Linked DNA regions of Saccharomyces cerevisiae S288C. The gene in region 1 interacts genetically with each later gene. Each region holds a gene or a part of one and is shown in the gene's direction. Other genes may lie near its edges. The genes, in order: URE2, RXT2, URM1 and GLN3.

What was found.
Region 2: mutations in URE2 (region 1) and RXT2 together harm fitness more than expected from each alone (negative genetic interaction), as found in Saccharomyces cerevisiae (4 studies listed by BioGRID, with this or other methods).
Region 3: of URE2 (region 1) and URM1, changing one enhances a phenotype caused by changing the other (phenotypic enhancement), as found in Saccharomyces cerevisiae (5 studies listed by BioGRID, with this or other methods).
Region 4: of URE2 (region 1) and GLN3, a mutation in one rescues a mutant of the other (synthetic rescue), as found in Saccharomyces cerevisiae (5 studies listed by BioGRID, with this or other methods).

Annotation. Positions count from the first base shown.
Region 1 is NC_001146.8:218,539-222,029, reverse strand, and holds URE2 (glutathione peroxidase), read left to right. Parts: upstream 1-1,828; coding exon 1,829-2,893; downstream 2,894-3,491. Other genes in the region: JJJ1 (Jjj1p), read left to right, coding at 1-1,371; ELA1 (elongin A), read left to right, coding at 3,368-3,491. UniProt on the Saccharomyces cerevisiae protein: Plays an important role in nitrogen catabolite repression. Down-regulates the expression of many genes involved in nitrogen utilization by inhibiting the GATA transcriptional activators GLN3 and GAT1.
Region 2 is NC_001134.8:433,906-437,296, reverse strand, and holds RXT2 (Rxt2p), read left to right. Parts: upstream 1-1,598; coding exon 1,599-2,891; downstream 2,892-3,391. Other genes in the region: ubiquitin-binding serine/threonine protein kinase VPS15, read right to left, coding at 1-346; YBR096W (uncharacterized protein), read right to left, coding at 584-1,276; PBY1 (putative tubulin tyrosine ligase), read right to left, coding at 3,000-3,391. UniProt on the Saccharomyces cerevisiae protein: Component of the RPD3C(L) histone deacetylase complex (HDAC) responsible for the deacetylation of lysine residues on the N-terminal part of the core histones (H2A, H2B, H3 and H4).
Region 3 is NC_001141.2:340,809-343,400, forward strand, and holds URM1 (ubiquitin-related modifier URM1), read left to right. Parts: upstream 1-1,727; coding exon 1,728-2,027; downstream 2,028-2,592. Other genes in the region: long-chain fatty acid-CoA ligase FAA3, read left to right, coding at 1-620; NAS2 (Nas2p), read right to left, coding at 2,186-2,592.
Region 4 is NC_001137.3:228,063-232,585, forward strand, and holds GLN3 (nitrogen-responsive transcriptional regulator GLN3), read left to right. Parts: upstream 1-1,732; coding exon 1,733-3,925; downstream 3,926-4,523. Other genes in the region: Smc5-Smc6 complex subunit KRE29, read right to left, coding at 1-190; FMP49 (Fmp49p), read left to right, coding at 389-769; HVG1 (putative GDP-mannose transporter), read right to left, coding at 394-1,143; YER039C-A (uncharacterized protein), read right to left, coding at 1,201-1,419; YEN1 (crossover junction endodeoxyribonuclease), read left to right, coding at 4,399-4,523. UniProt on the Saccharomyces cerevisiae protein: Positive nitrogen regulatory protein. Required for the activation of transcription of a number of genes (including the allantoin pathway genes) in response to the replacement of glutamine by glutamate as source of nitrogen.

The DNA of each region.
Region 1 (3,491 bases):
GAGATTTTAAGTGGTAAGCGACTGGGGAAATTTTCCGAGTATCAAGATGATGTATTCGAACAGGATATTAATAGTATTGGCTATTTGAAAGCCTGCGATAACTTTATTAACAAGACGGATAAACTTTTATATCCTTTATTTGGATATTCGCCAACGGATTATGAATATTTGAAACATTTCTATAAGACTTGGTCAGCGTTCAATACCTTGAAAAGTTTTAGCTGGAAAGACGAGTACATGTACTCTAAAAACTATGACAGAAGAACCAAGAGGGAAGTTAATAGAAGAAATGAGAAGGCTAGGCAACAAGCTCGAAATGAATACAACAAAACCGTGAAAAGGTTTGTAGTTTTCATAAAAAAGCTCGATAAAAGAATGAAAGAAGGTGCAAAAATTGCAGAAGAACAGCGTAAACTAAAAGAACAACAGAGGAAAAATGAGTTAAATAACAGAAGAAAGTTTGGGAACGACAACAATGACGAAGAAAAATTTCATTTACAAAGCTGGCAAACGGTAAAAGAAGAAAACTGGGATGAACTGGAAAAGGTATATGATAATTTTGGAGAATTCGAAAATTCTAAGAATGATAAGGAAGGTGAAGTATTGATTTACGAGTGTTTTATCTGCAACAAGACATTTAAGTCGGAAAAGCAATTGAAAAACCACATAAACACTAAACTGCATAAGAAAAATATGGAAGAGATACGGAAAGAAATGGAAGAGGAAAACATAACGCTTGGGTTGGATAATCTCTCCGATCTCGAGAAATTTGATTCAGCAGATGAAAGTGTTAAAGAAAAAGAAGATATTGATCTGCAAGCATTGCAAGCTGAACTCGCTGAAATTGAAAGAAAACTGGCAGAATCGTCTTCTGAAGACGAAAGTGAAGATGACAATCTCAACATAGAAATGGATATAGAGGTAGAAGACGTCAGTTCGGATGAAAATGTACATGTGAATACGAAGAATAAAAAGAAAAGAAAAAAGAAAAAAAAAGCAAAGGTTGACACAGAAACAGAGGAATCTGAATCGTTCGATGATACTAAAGACAAACGGAGTAATGAGTTGGATGATCTTTTGGCATCACTAGGAGACAAGGGCTTACAAACGGATGACGATGAAGATTGGTCTACTAAAGCGAAAAAGAAAAAGGGCAAACAACCTAAAAAGAATTCTAAATCCACAAAAAGCACTCCGTCCTTGTCGACTCTACCGTCCTCTATGTCTCCAACCTCCGCGATCGAGGTGTGCACTACATGCGGAGAATCATTTGATAGTCGAAATAAGCTATTCAACCACGTGAAGATAGCAGGGCATGCGGCAGTGAAAAACGTAGTGAAAAGAAAGAAAGTCAAGACCAAAAGAATATAGTGACACCAAACCATAGAACGCCGAAACAGAAATTATTAGTAGAGCTGTGTAGAGTTTAATTTAACTGTAGTCAATGTGGAAAATGAATACCGACTGTTGTCTGGAATAACAACATTAATCCGGGTGACGCAGCCTGGAATTTTTTTTTCAATTCTCGCCGAATAGGAGGATTGATGAGCTGCCACTATTGAATTTTTGAGGAAGAGTGGCTTCAGCATGTAGTTTTCCTTTCTACTAGGCCAGAAAAGCAACTATACAAAGACGAAAGCTTCCTTACTCGAGGTTGAAAAGAATAGCAAAAATCTTTCCTTTTCAAACAGCTCATTTGGAATTGTTTATAGCACTGAATTGAATCGAAGAGGAATAAAGATCCCCCGTACGAACTTCTTTATTTTTAGTTTTTCATTTTTTGTTATTAGTCATATTGTTTTAAGCTGCAAATTAAGTTGTACACCAAATGATGAATAACAACGGCAACCAAGTGTCGAATCTCTCCAATGCGCTCCGTCAAGTAAACATAGGAAACAGGAACAGTAATACAACCACCGATCAAAGTAATATAAATTTTGAATTTTCAACAGGTGTAAATAATAATAATAATAACAATAGCAGTAGTAATAACAATAATGTTCAAAACAATAACAGCGGCCGCAATGGTAGCCAAAATAATGATAACGAGAATAATATCAAGAATACCTTAGAACAACATCGACAACAACAACAGGCATTTTCGGATATGAGTCACGTGGAGTATTCCAGAATTACAAAATTTTTTCAAGAACAACCACTGGAGGGATATACCCTTTTCTCTCACAGGTCTGCGCCTAATGGATTCAAAGTTGCTATAGTACTAAGTGAACTTGGATTTCATTATAACACAATCTTCCTAGATTTCAATCTTGGCGAACATAGGGCCCCCGAATTTGTGTCTGTGAACCCTAATGCAAGAGTTCCAGCTTTAATCGATCATGGTATGGACAACTTGTCTATTTGGGAATCAGGGGCGATTTTATTACATTTGGTAAATAAATATTACAAAGAGACTGGTAATCCATTACTCTGGTCCGATGATTTAGCTGACCAATCACAAATCAACGCATGGTTGTTCTTCCAAACGTCAGGGCATGCGCCAATGATTGGACAAGCTTTACATTTCAGATACTTCCATTCACAAAAGATAGCAAGTGCTGTAGAAAGATATACGGATGAGGTTAGAAGAGTTTACGGTGTAGTGGAGATGGCCTTGGCTGAACGTAGAGAAGCGCTGGTGATGGAATTAGACACGGAAAATGCGGCTGCATACTCAGCTGGTACAACACCAATGTCACAAAGTCGTTTCTTTGATTATCCCGTATGGCTTGTAGGAGATAAATTAACTATAGCAGATTTGGCCTTTGTCCCATGGAATAATGTCGTGGATAGAATTGGCATTAATATCAAAATTGAATTTCCAGAAGTTTACAAATGGACGAAGCATATGATGAGAAGACCCGCGGTCATCAAGGCATTGCGTGGTGAATGAAGGCTGCTTTAAAAACAAGAAAGAAAGAAGAAGGAGGAAAAGAAGGTTATAAGGGTATGTATATAGGCAGACAAAAAGGAAAATTAAGTGCAAATATAAACAAAAATGTCATAGAAGTATATAATAGTTTTGAAATTTCTGTTGCTTCTATTTATTCTTTGTTACCCCAACCACAGAATTCCAAAATTTTGTTTTATGTAATAATTGAAATACTATAAATTTCTCAACTATATTCGGGGTGTTGTCACTGTATATCTGGCGCTTTCAATAAAGCTGGTACAATTGCGTATTTTTCTCGGCATTTGCCACGATGGGCTTAAGAAAGATCACAATAGAAAATTTCAAATATTTAATATTTGCGAAGAAGGGATTTGTTCAGTTATGACGATTAGATACATATGTAACTTACATGCAAACGGTTTTTGTTCATGGAAATACGTTCTAGTGAATGTATAAATCGATTGATGTCGAGATATGAAAAGTTTACAAACACTATGTGAAATCTCATTGATGAGAAATCATTCAAACATACAATCTGTGAGTAATGTCCCCTATCACTTATTAAAGAGGATACTGCAGAAAGTAAAAATACCACAAC
Region 2 (3,391 bases), on another chromosome or scaffold:
TCAAACTCAATCTGTCATATAAATTATTTTTTAAGTGCTGCCGTATCATGTAGCCGGCTCTATTTGTCTCGATCAATTTACTGTAGTTTAAAACGTGCGGTAGTTGTCCCAACTTAAACGATTGAGCCCTTATACGTTGGAGAAAAGGTCGTAAGCTATATTGGTCTTTTGGTTTAATAAACACTTTGATAACAATTTCGCCGTTAGGGTCCAGTGCCTTGCATGTTTTTAAGAATCTTGATGAGTTTAACTGTGAAACGTAGTGTACTTCCTCTAAGACATCGATATATGAAAAAATGGCTATGGAAGGTGATGCTTGGACCACTAGTGATAATTGTGCCCCCATTATACTGTATGCCTTCCTTTTTGATAACCTTACAGCTTTTGTATTTCTCCAATTCAACTTGTCTGCTTAAGTATCTTACTTAAGATATATCTGTTTTTCATTTTTATGATGTTGAAAAATAAGGGAAATTTACCTTGTTTTCTACCGAAGATAAAATATAACGCAGACTGCACAGAGAAACTTTTGAAAGAAGATAGATTTATATATTTTATAATACCGGCTATATGTGTATAGAAGTTAGATTTCTGAACAGTACTCTTGGCTCAAGTTTTCCAATGGTACTGTCTCGTGGAAACCACAACGCTCGGTTAAAAGCTTTAGATTGTCCTCAGAAATTTTGGCGACCTTCTCATTATATAAACCACAGTATTCAAGAGCATCCTTTGGTTTGATGGTCTTTCTACCGTCCTTAAGGACGTATTTGGTCAATGATAATGAGCATAAGACGGTGCCCTTTTTAATTGTGAATCTACTCATGACGTAAATCCATTTCTCATCCCAACAGATAATCCTTGATGAAACCGAGTACTTTTGAAAAGGCTTGATTTCCTTCAAGAAATTAGTGAAAACGTTCGCAACTGGAATATATGGATAATGCTTGGAATTCAGCATCAATTTTTGAAAAATCTTGCACATGAGATTACCTCTTGAAATGTCCAATTCCGCAAAATAGGTGCTATTGCTCTTATGAAAGTAGAAGTCACATTCGAATGGAGAGGCATAGGTATCTAGGCTGGTGTACGAGAAACAGCCATATTCATTTTTCTCAAGTTTCTTAATATTCTCGGTTTCAAACCCTGTAAACATAGGCAAGAACAAGTTTTGAATAACATAATAATAAAACCTAACAAAATATGCCCCAGGAAGCGACTTATATGAAGAGAGCAAGTAAGCAGCAAAGAGCCACCTAAAAATAGTGCAAACACCCATTATTCTATTATTTTATTTTGTTGTAGATATTGGAAAGCACTAGTTACTCGAGAAACCTTTTGGAAGTCTTGAAATTAGAAGCAATTGTTTTACAAAATTACTAAAAAGCCTTTAAGCGGATAATTATAATGTTCACTTTATAACGGCGTTATTCGAAGATCATTATTGTCTCCTATACCCAAGAGGACCGAAGCCGGGTAGCGAACTTTGTTCTGGTAAAACAATCGCTTTCAAATAGAAGAAACGTTGCTTGATGACAGCATCTCCTGCAAAAAAGAGGTTGAGAAACAAATATCTCAGCTGTTGCTTCTTGTTGATCGAGATGACTATTAGGAGCAGTATGAAAAACAACGCAGAATTGGAAAGCAAGAGTGTGTTAGCTAATGAATCGAATATAATTAGCACATTTACTAGAAGGATAATAAAGGAAAAAAGCGGTAACTATCAGGTACTGAAAAGATCCCTTGATGGAAAACTAATCTATCCTGAGGCCACTGGCATATCCTCTAACAGAGGTAACAAACTTTTGCAGAGAAGCGAAGTAGTAACAAGAAGAGACTTGAACAATTCTAAGCCAATGATTGAGCAAACTGTGTTCTATAACGGTTCGGAGCATCGCCTTCTGCAAACAAATATTGTCACTGATAGTAGACGCAAAAGAATAAAATTCACACCTGACATCAACGTCGAGCCTGTTTTAGTCGGTGATGAAAACGACATCGATGGTAGTGAGAAGGAAGACGAAAATATCACTGATGAGTATTACGGCGAAGAAGACGATGACGACCTATCAAAACTAGTGAATGTAAAGGAGATTTTGACTCCCATTCTTTCCCTAGGGGATATAATAAATCATAAAACTATCTCAAGGACATTTTCAAGCCCAATTTTGAAAAATTTAGCCTTGCAAATAATTCTAATGATTGAAAAAGAACAGATGTCAGTTGTTAGATATTCCCAGTTTTTGGAGGTTTTTTTAGGAGATCATCCTGAACCAATTTATGAATCTAACTTGAACCTACCATCTTATAATCACAATTTGACCCTTCCAGAGGATAGAGGGGCAAGCGACGAGGATGACATTAACAACAAAAACAATATCAACGAGGTTAACTCGAATAGTTTGTCTACTGAAGCTGGTCATATCAATAATGGCATGGAAGAATTTGGAGAGGAAGATCCTTTTTTTGCATTGCCAAGGTTGGAACAATCTAATGCGCTGTTATCGTTGCTGCCATCTTCTTCCGGTTCTGCTTCTATATCAACATTAACAGCGGCCGAACAACAACAGTTAAATGAGGAAATTGAGTCTGCCCGACAGCTGTCGCAGATTGCACTACAGAGGAATAAAGAATTCATAAGAAACTTACAAAAAATCAGAAAGTCTGTAATAAAAGCCAATAGAATAAGAGGTAGGATTTTAAATTGGAGTCGGGAATATTTGGGTATATCTGACGATGATATTACTATCCCGGTGGCTCTACGTGTTGTGAAGAGAGGTCTGATCAGTGCTACAACAAATAAGACAACAAATTTTGAGGAAGAAATTGAAAATACCATGGAAGACGGTGTTGTAGACGATAATGAACCTGATGAAGAAGCTAATAGAGCCTAAATTGACAAAACAAAAAATTTCGGAAATAAAATCAAGGCATATGTATTATTTAGCACTATTTAGTAATAATAACAGTATTTTAGGATGGGTTCTTTTTTTTTTTTTGTTTCACCAACCGTTTGAAGTGTAATCAATGACTTTTACGAAGTTCGGGTCTGTTTCATCATCTGTCTTATTTCTATTCTCGTTAAAGATGGGGGTAACACAGTATTTGACAGTGTCATCAAATAATTCATCAATGAGGTTCTTCAAATCTTTCCCAGTTTGTTTGAAGTCTGGGAAAGCGTTGATCTCTAGTAATTTAACTTCGTAATTCGAATCAATCAAAAAGTCTACGCCATATGTTTCAAATGCGTTTGGTAACGGTTGGAAGTTTAATCTATTTACATTTACAGCAGCTAAGAAAACGTCGTTCGTTATGCTATGGATTTGCTCCTTAATATTGGACTTTCTCTCATTTGGAATTTCCTCTATGGAGTCAAACTCCAAAACAGAAGAAT
Region 3 (2,592 bases), on another chromosome or scaffold:
AGGACCTAGGTTATTATGCAAAAAACAATCAAGGTGAATTGCTTCTAAAGGGTGCGCCGGTCTGTTCTGAATATTATAAGAATCCAATAGAAACGGCGGTCTCTTTCACTTACGATGGATGGTTTCGTACTGGTGATATTGTTGAATGGACTCCCAAGGGACAACTTAAAATTATTGATAGAAGAAAGAATTTGGTTAAAACCCTAAATGGTGAATATATTGCATTAGAAAAGTTAGAATCTGTTTACAGGTCAAACTCCTATGTGAAAAATATCTGTGTTTATGCCGATGAAAGTAGGGTTAAACCGGTGGGTATTGTGGTACCCAACCCAGGACCCCTATCTAAATTTGCTGTCAAATTGCGTATTATGAAAAAGGGTGAAGACATCGAAAACTATATCCATGACAAAGCATTACGAAATGCTGTTTTCAAAGAGATGATCGCAACAGCCAAATCTCAAGGTTTGGTTGGTATTGAACTATTATGTGGTATTGTTTTCTTTGATGAAGAATGGACACCTGAAAATGGCTTTGTCACATCTGCTCAAAAATTAAAGAGAAGAGAAATCTTAGCCGCTGTTAAATCAGAAGTCGAAAGGGTTTACAAAGAAAATTCTTAGAGAGAAGCTTATTACCTTCCCCTTCCATCTATGCACGGTGTCTCGTACTTCCATAGAGCACCGATTAGTGAATACTAAAACTATGTGCGTGATAAATGGTTCTCTTTTACAGATGCGGTAAATCAATTATTGATATACTACATAACATACAAACATGTTTCATTTCCGTAATACAAATTACAATTGTATAATTAAAAAATATAAAAAACTTCGTGATATGAAATCACATTTTGCTATTGAGTTTGCCACATGAGCGGTATACGAACTATTCGTTATTTTATGACTTTAAAAGCCATACCGAAAGTAGGCTTGAGAAGTATGACTACTGTAGGAGTGACCACTACTGTTAAATGCAGATAGCCGTCTTATGCTCTTCCCTTGTTCTTCTGAATTGGGAATGCATAGCTTGAAACATCAATCTTAATAAGGTCTTGTTTGTTTCTGCTTGGCTTTCATAGTAGCAAATAGTTTCGACCTTAATGTAAGAAATAAAAGCAATCGTTAATTTGAGTAAAGATAACCACTCTTCCTCTTCTACTATCAATATAATAAGAATAACGCTTATGGTTTATTTTAGCTTTTTTGAAAGCTAAACATTAAAAAAGAATAAAAATGCACGGCATACCTACATATTTTAAAAACATATATTTTATGATTGACTTTAGCAAAAGTTGGCGCTGGGTACTTTGAGACTCTTTCCTACAAAACGTTACCAACACTTGCTAGTCTAATCTAATCTACTTAATCAAGGTTTTAGTGGCGTACCATGTGACGGCCATCAAATGCCATCAGTTCTACAAGTTCACATATATTTATATATAACTATTCTCCTAACTTGTATAATATTATACCGAGACAGAGGATAGATTCAATTGATTTCACATACCGGATTATGTTCCTTCCCAAGTTCTCAATCTTATTTAGACTTTTTTTTTTAATTACATTGTCGCCCACTTCGGCAGAAAAAATATAACGACAAAGTAATGGCATCGCATCGACCTAATGAAATACTACTGGCAGACGGTATGGAGAGCTCAAAAATTCCCAAAGCAGAAAACAATACTGATTTCTGATACTAAAACGAGATAGGTTAATAGCAAAATCGGGATGGTAAACGTGAAAGTGGAGTTTCTAGGTGGACTTGATGCTATTTTTGGAAAACAAAGAGTACATAAAATTAAGATGGACAAAGAAGATCCTGTCACAGTGGGCGATTTGATTGACCACATTGTATCTACTATGATCAATAACCCTAATGACGTTAGTATCTTCATCGAAGATGATTCTATAAGACCCGGTATCATCACATTAATCAACGACACCGATTGGGAGCTCGAAGGCGAAAAAGACTACATATTGGAAGACGGTGACATCATCTCTTTTACTTCAACATTACATGGTGGTTAAAAATAGCAGCAAATAATTTTTAAGAAGCAGCTACATATATATATATAAAGTGCTGTACAGCTTGAATGAATCACAAGTTAGATAACGTAGGTAATATGCAGATAGTATAAAAAGTAATAGTAATAACTGGATTGGTTTTTTTTAGTACATGACGAAGATTATAGCTCTTGTATCCTACAACCCAAAAGACCTCTACCATTCCAGTTTCTCGAAGGTGTTAGCGATGTCTTTAGGATTTGCCCTTCTCTCAAGAGAAGGACGGGAAGTGGCCTGTCTTCATTTTTCATTACAACCATCTGAATGTTTTGAAGTTTAGAGTGGTTTGCCGCATGCACATTACCAATAGAAATCAGCTTATCATCAACCTTTATGTCTGCTTTATCTGAAGGGCTACCGGGTACTACCTCACTGATAAATGCAAAAGGGATGGTATACTGAATAGCTTGATCGTCGTTATTCCTTCTTGCATCTTGGTTTGACTTAACGTTCATATTATCAAAGTGCTGGTTTAGTAAGACGTGTGATCTTTGCAAAAGGTGATTTAAATCATTCTTCAGCATATTAA
Region 4 (4,523 bases), on another chromosome or scaffold:
ACTCTTCGTCGCTATTCAAACTGTCGTTCTCAGGATCACTAATAAAGTTGGGATGCACCTTCTCATCGTCATCGTCATCGCGAAAGTAACTTCCCACACTAGTCGGTATCAAAGGAGAATCAAACCCTGAAATTTGTGAATCTGGCACAGTTTCAAACTCTTCATTCGGTGATGAGTTCACGCTTCCCATTTGTGACACTGCCCTTTTGTGCGTCTAACAAAATTTTATCACTTTATTGCTATTTACTTGAAAAATTATATATGAATATATTTCATAAAACGATGCTGACATAATATGTAACATAAAAAAAGGAATAACCTAAAACAAATACAAAGAAGACCCCATATAAATGAATATAAATGTATATTTTGCTTGAGCAAATGAAGAATGTACTACTTCTCAAGAGTAGCTGCTAGAACTTTTTGCTGTTGTATCTTTTTCTGTTTAGCCACAGCGTACAGCAGGCCAGACAGAAATCCTAGAAAGATAGAAAAGAAGGACAAAAAGTTTTTTGGAGCGTCAAAGAACACCAATCCCGCCAACGCTATGGGCAATTTGTTCAAAGCACCAACCATAGAATACGTTGTAGAGGAAGTTACACGAACACACCAGCCGGAACAGTACGATATCCCCACGGACATGAGCCCACTGATGACCATTGCTGCCAGTGAGTCGGCGGACAAGTTCACAGACAAATTCTTTGTGGACCAATCTTCCATAATGAAGGAAAAGACTAGCAGCAAAGGCAATGCCAGAACGTTGTTATAAAACATAGTATCATAGTCTTTAAAGTTAGTCAGCCGAATTCTCTTCCGCATAATCAAAACGAACAATGCAGACGAAATACAATTGGTGAACATCCAGAGGTACCCCGGATTCAACACAAAGATGGTTGACTCAACAAGTTCCTGATCGAGATCCTCCAAAGATGATGCTTTGATTGCAATGGCCTGCTGATCGCCCCAGGTGGCCACTACAGATGAAAGGACCATCATAATAAATGACGTCAACTCCATAGAAGTGACTTTTCCGCCAAAGAAGAGGACCTCGCCATAAGCAATGAGAATGATCGTCAGATTCTTGAAAATTGTGTAGATGGGCACGGCAAGGTATTGTAAGCTCTTTGACGACGTATAAATCATCAATACGAGCAGCAAAGAAATTGGAAACCAGTTTTTTACATCTGTCCTGTTCAAAGATCAAAAATTAGCAACGCCTACAATTCGTAGGATACATAGCGTCACAGTGCACACCAGTGATTGTACAAACAACATCACAAAGTTCATGTTAAAGTTGTCCAGGTTAACCACGAATTTGTTCGTTACTGTCATCAAAATCGAGGACGCGCAGTAAGATAAGATTGAAGCCGGCCCAGAGTTGGCCACTGATTCCGTCCATTCATGCTTATGCTTGCTCATAATTACCACACCTTCTTGATCTCTTTACAGCTTTTCAACCTTCCATTCTTGTACTCTATCTCTACCTGGCCCTTTAAACATTCTTAATATGATATATTCACATTTTTTGCTCTATTACCCGGCGGACAGGTTCCCGAAAGAAAGTGACATGGCAATGCTGAGAGAGTGGAAAGAGTCATCTTGCAAGACAGAGAAAGATGTTCAAGAGTGGTAAGCTAATGTCAGCGCAGTAGCCCATCCCACAATAACAGAGTGTGTAAGAAAGAGAGACGAGAGAGAGCACAGGGCCCCCTTTTCCCCCACCAACAAACAAATGCAAGACGACCCCGAAAATTCGAAGCTGTACGACCTGCTGAATAGTCATCTGGACGTGCATGGTCGAAGTAATGAAGAGCCGAGACAAACTGGTGACAGTAGGAGCCAGAGTAGTGGCAACACCGGTGAAAACGAGGAGGATATAGCATTTGCCAGTGGATTAAACGGCGGCACATTCGACTCAATGCTGGAGGCACTGCCCGATGATTTATATTTTACGGACTTCGTGTCTCCTTTTACAGCAGCTGCCACGACCAGCGTGACTACTAAGACGGTCAAGGACACCACACCAGCTACCAATCATATGGATGATGATATTGCGATGTTTGATTCACTTGCCACAACTCAGCCCATCGACATAGCCGCATCCAACCAACAAAATGGTGAAATTGCACAACTTTGGGACTTTAACGTGGACCAATTCAACATGACGCCCAGCAACTCGAGCGGTTCAGCTACTATTAGTGCTCCTAACAGCTTTACTTCCGACATACCGCAATACAACCACGGTTCCCTCGGCAACAGCGTCTCCAAATCCTCACTGTTCCCGTATAATTCCAGCACGTCCAACAGCAACATCAACCAGCCATCTATCAATAACAACTCAAATACTAATGCGCAGTCCCACCATTCCTTCAACATCTACAAACTACAAAACAACAACTCATCTTCATCCGCTATGAACATTACCAATAATAATAATAGCAACAATAGTAATATCCAGCATCCTTTTCTGAAGAAGAGCGATTCGATAGGATTATCTTCATCCAACACAACAAATTCTGTAAGAAAAAACTCACTTATCAAGCCAATGTCGTCCACGTCCCTGGCCAATTTCAAAAGAGCTGCCTCAGTATCTTCCAGTATATCCAATATGGAACCATCAGGACAAAATAAAAAACCTCTGATACAATGTTTCAATTGTAAAACTTTCAAGACACCGCTTTGGAGGAGAAGCCCAGAGGGGAATACTCTTTGCAATGCCTGCGGTCTTTTCCAGAAATTACATGGTACCATGAGGCCATTATCCTTAAAATCGGACGTTATCAAAAAGAGGATTTCAAAGAAGAGAGCCAAACAAACGGACCCAAACATTGCACAAAATACTCCAAGTGCACCTGCAACTGCCTCAACTTCAGTAACCACTACAAATGCTAAACCCATACGATCGAGGAAAAAATCACTACAACAAAACTCTTTATCTAGAGTGATACCTGAAGAAATCATTAGAGACAACATCGGTAATACTAATAATATCCTTAATGTAAATAGGGGAGGCTATAACTTCAACTCAGTCCCCTCCCCGGTCCTCATGAACAGCCAATCGTATAATAGTAGTAACGCAAATTTTAATGGAGCAAGCAATGCAAATTTGAATTCTAATAACTTAATGCGTCACAATTCGAACACTGTTACTCCTAATTTTAGAAGGTCTTCAAGACGAAGTAGTACTTCATCGAACACCTCAAGTTCCAGTAAATCTTCATCCAGATCTGTTGTTCCGATATTACCAAAACCTTCACCTAATAGCGCTAATTCACAGCAGTTCAACATGAACATGAACCTAATGAACACAACAAATAATGTAAGTGCAGGAAATAGTGTCGCATCCTCACCAAGAATTATATCGTCCGCAAACTTTAACTCAAATAGTCCTCTACAGCAGAATCTATTATCAAATTCTTTCCAACGTCAAGGAATGAATATACCAAGAAGAAAGATGTCGCGCAATGCATCGTACTCCTCATCGTTTATGGCTGCGTCTTTGCAACAACTGCACGAACAGCAACAAGTGGACGTGAATTCCAACACAAACACGAATTCGAATAGACAGAATTGGAATTCAAGCAATAGCGTTTCAACAAATTCAAGATCATCAAATTTTGTCTCTCAAAAGCCAAATTTTGATATTTTTAATACTCCTGTAGATTCACCGAGTGTCTCAAGACCTTCTTCAAGAAAATCACATACCTCATTGTTATCACAACAATTGCAGAACTCGGAGTCGAATTCGTTTATCTCAAATCACAAATTTAACAATAGATTATCAAGTGACTCTACTTCACCTATAAAATATGAAGCAGATGTGAGTGCAGGCGGAAAGATCAGTGAGGATAATTCCACAAAAGGATCTTCTAAAGAAAGTTCAGCAATTGCTGACGAATTGGATTGGTTAAAATTTGGTATATGACCGCGTATTATCATTATCATTATTCTTATTATGTTAATAATTACTGAACGGTTGCATTGATAGATTTTCATTACCTCTGACCACAATCCTGAGCATTGGTATTATTTGTTTTGCTATTTTCAGATCAAATTACTTGTAAAAAAAGAAATGGTAGTATATTGGCATTGAACACTGGCTGTTCTATTTGTATTACTTTTATGTGTAGACATATATTATTAGGAATTTGTAATATCACTCTAATTATTATTTGGTATTCTTTCTCTATCTCCCCTGTTTCTTTTGTCTATCTCTTTCTTTTTTTTTTTTAAACGGCCCTTTTTTAATGGCATTTTCTTTTTCTTATAATGCCCACAGTTGAATAATTTAACTAGCTTTTGACTGACACATAAACAATAATGTATATGGTCCATCCAATGAAATGACAGTTCTATTGCATTTTACCTACTTGTATATTCTGGATACTGCACAAGAAAATGGGTGTCTCACAAATATGGGAATTTTTGAAGCCATATCTGCAAGATTCCAGAATTCCGTTGAGAAAGTTTGTCATAGACTTTAATAAATCGCAAAAAAGAGCTCCAAGAATCGCGATTGACGC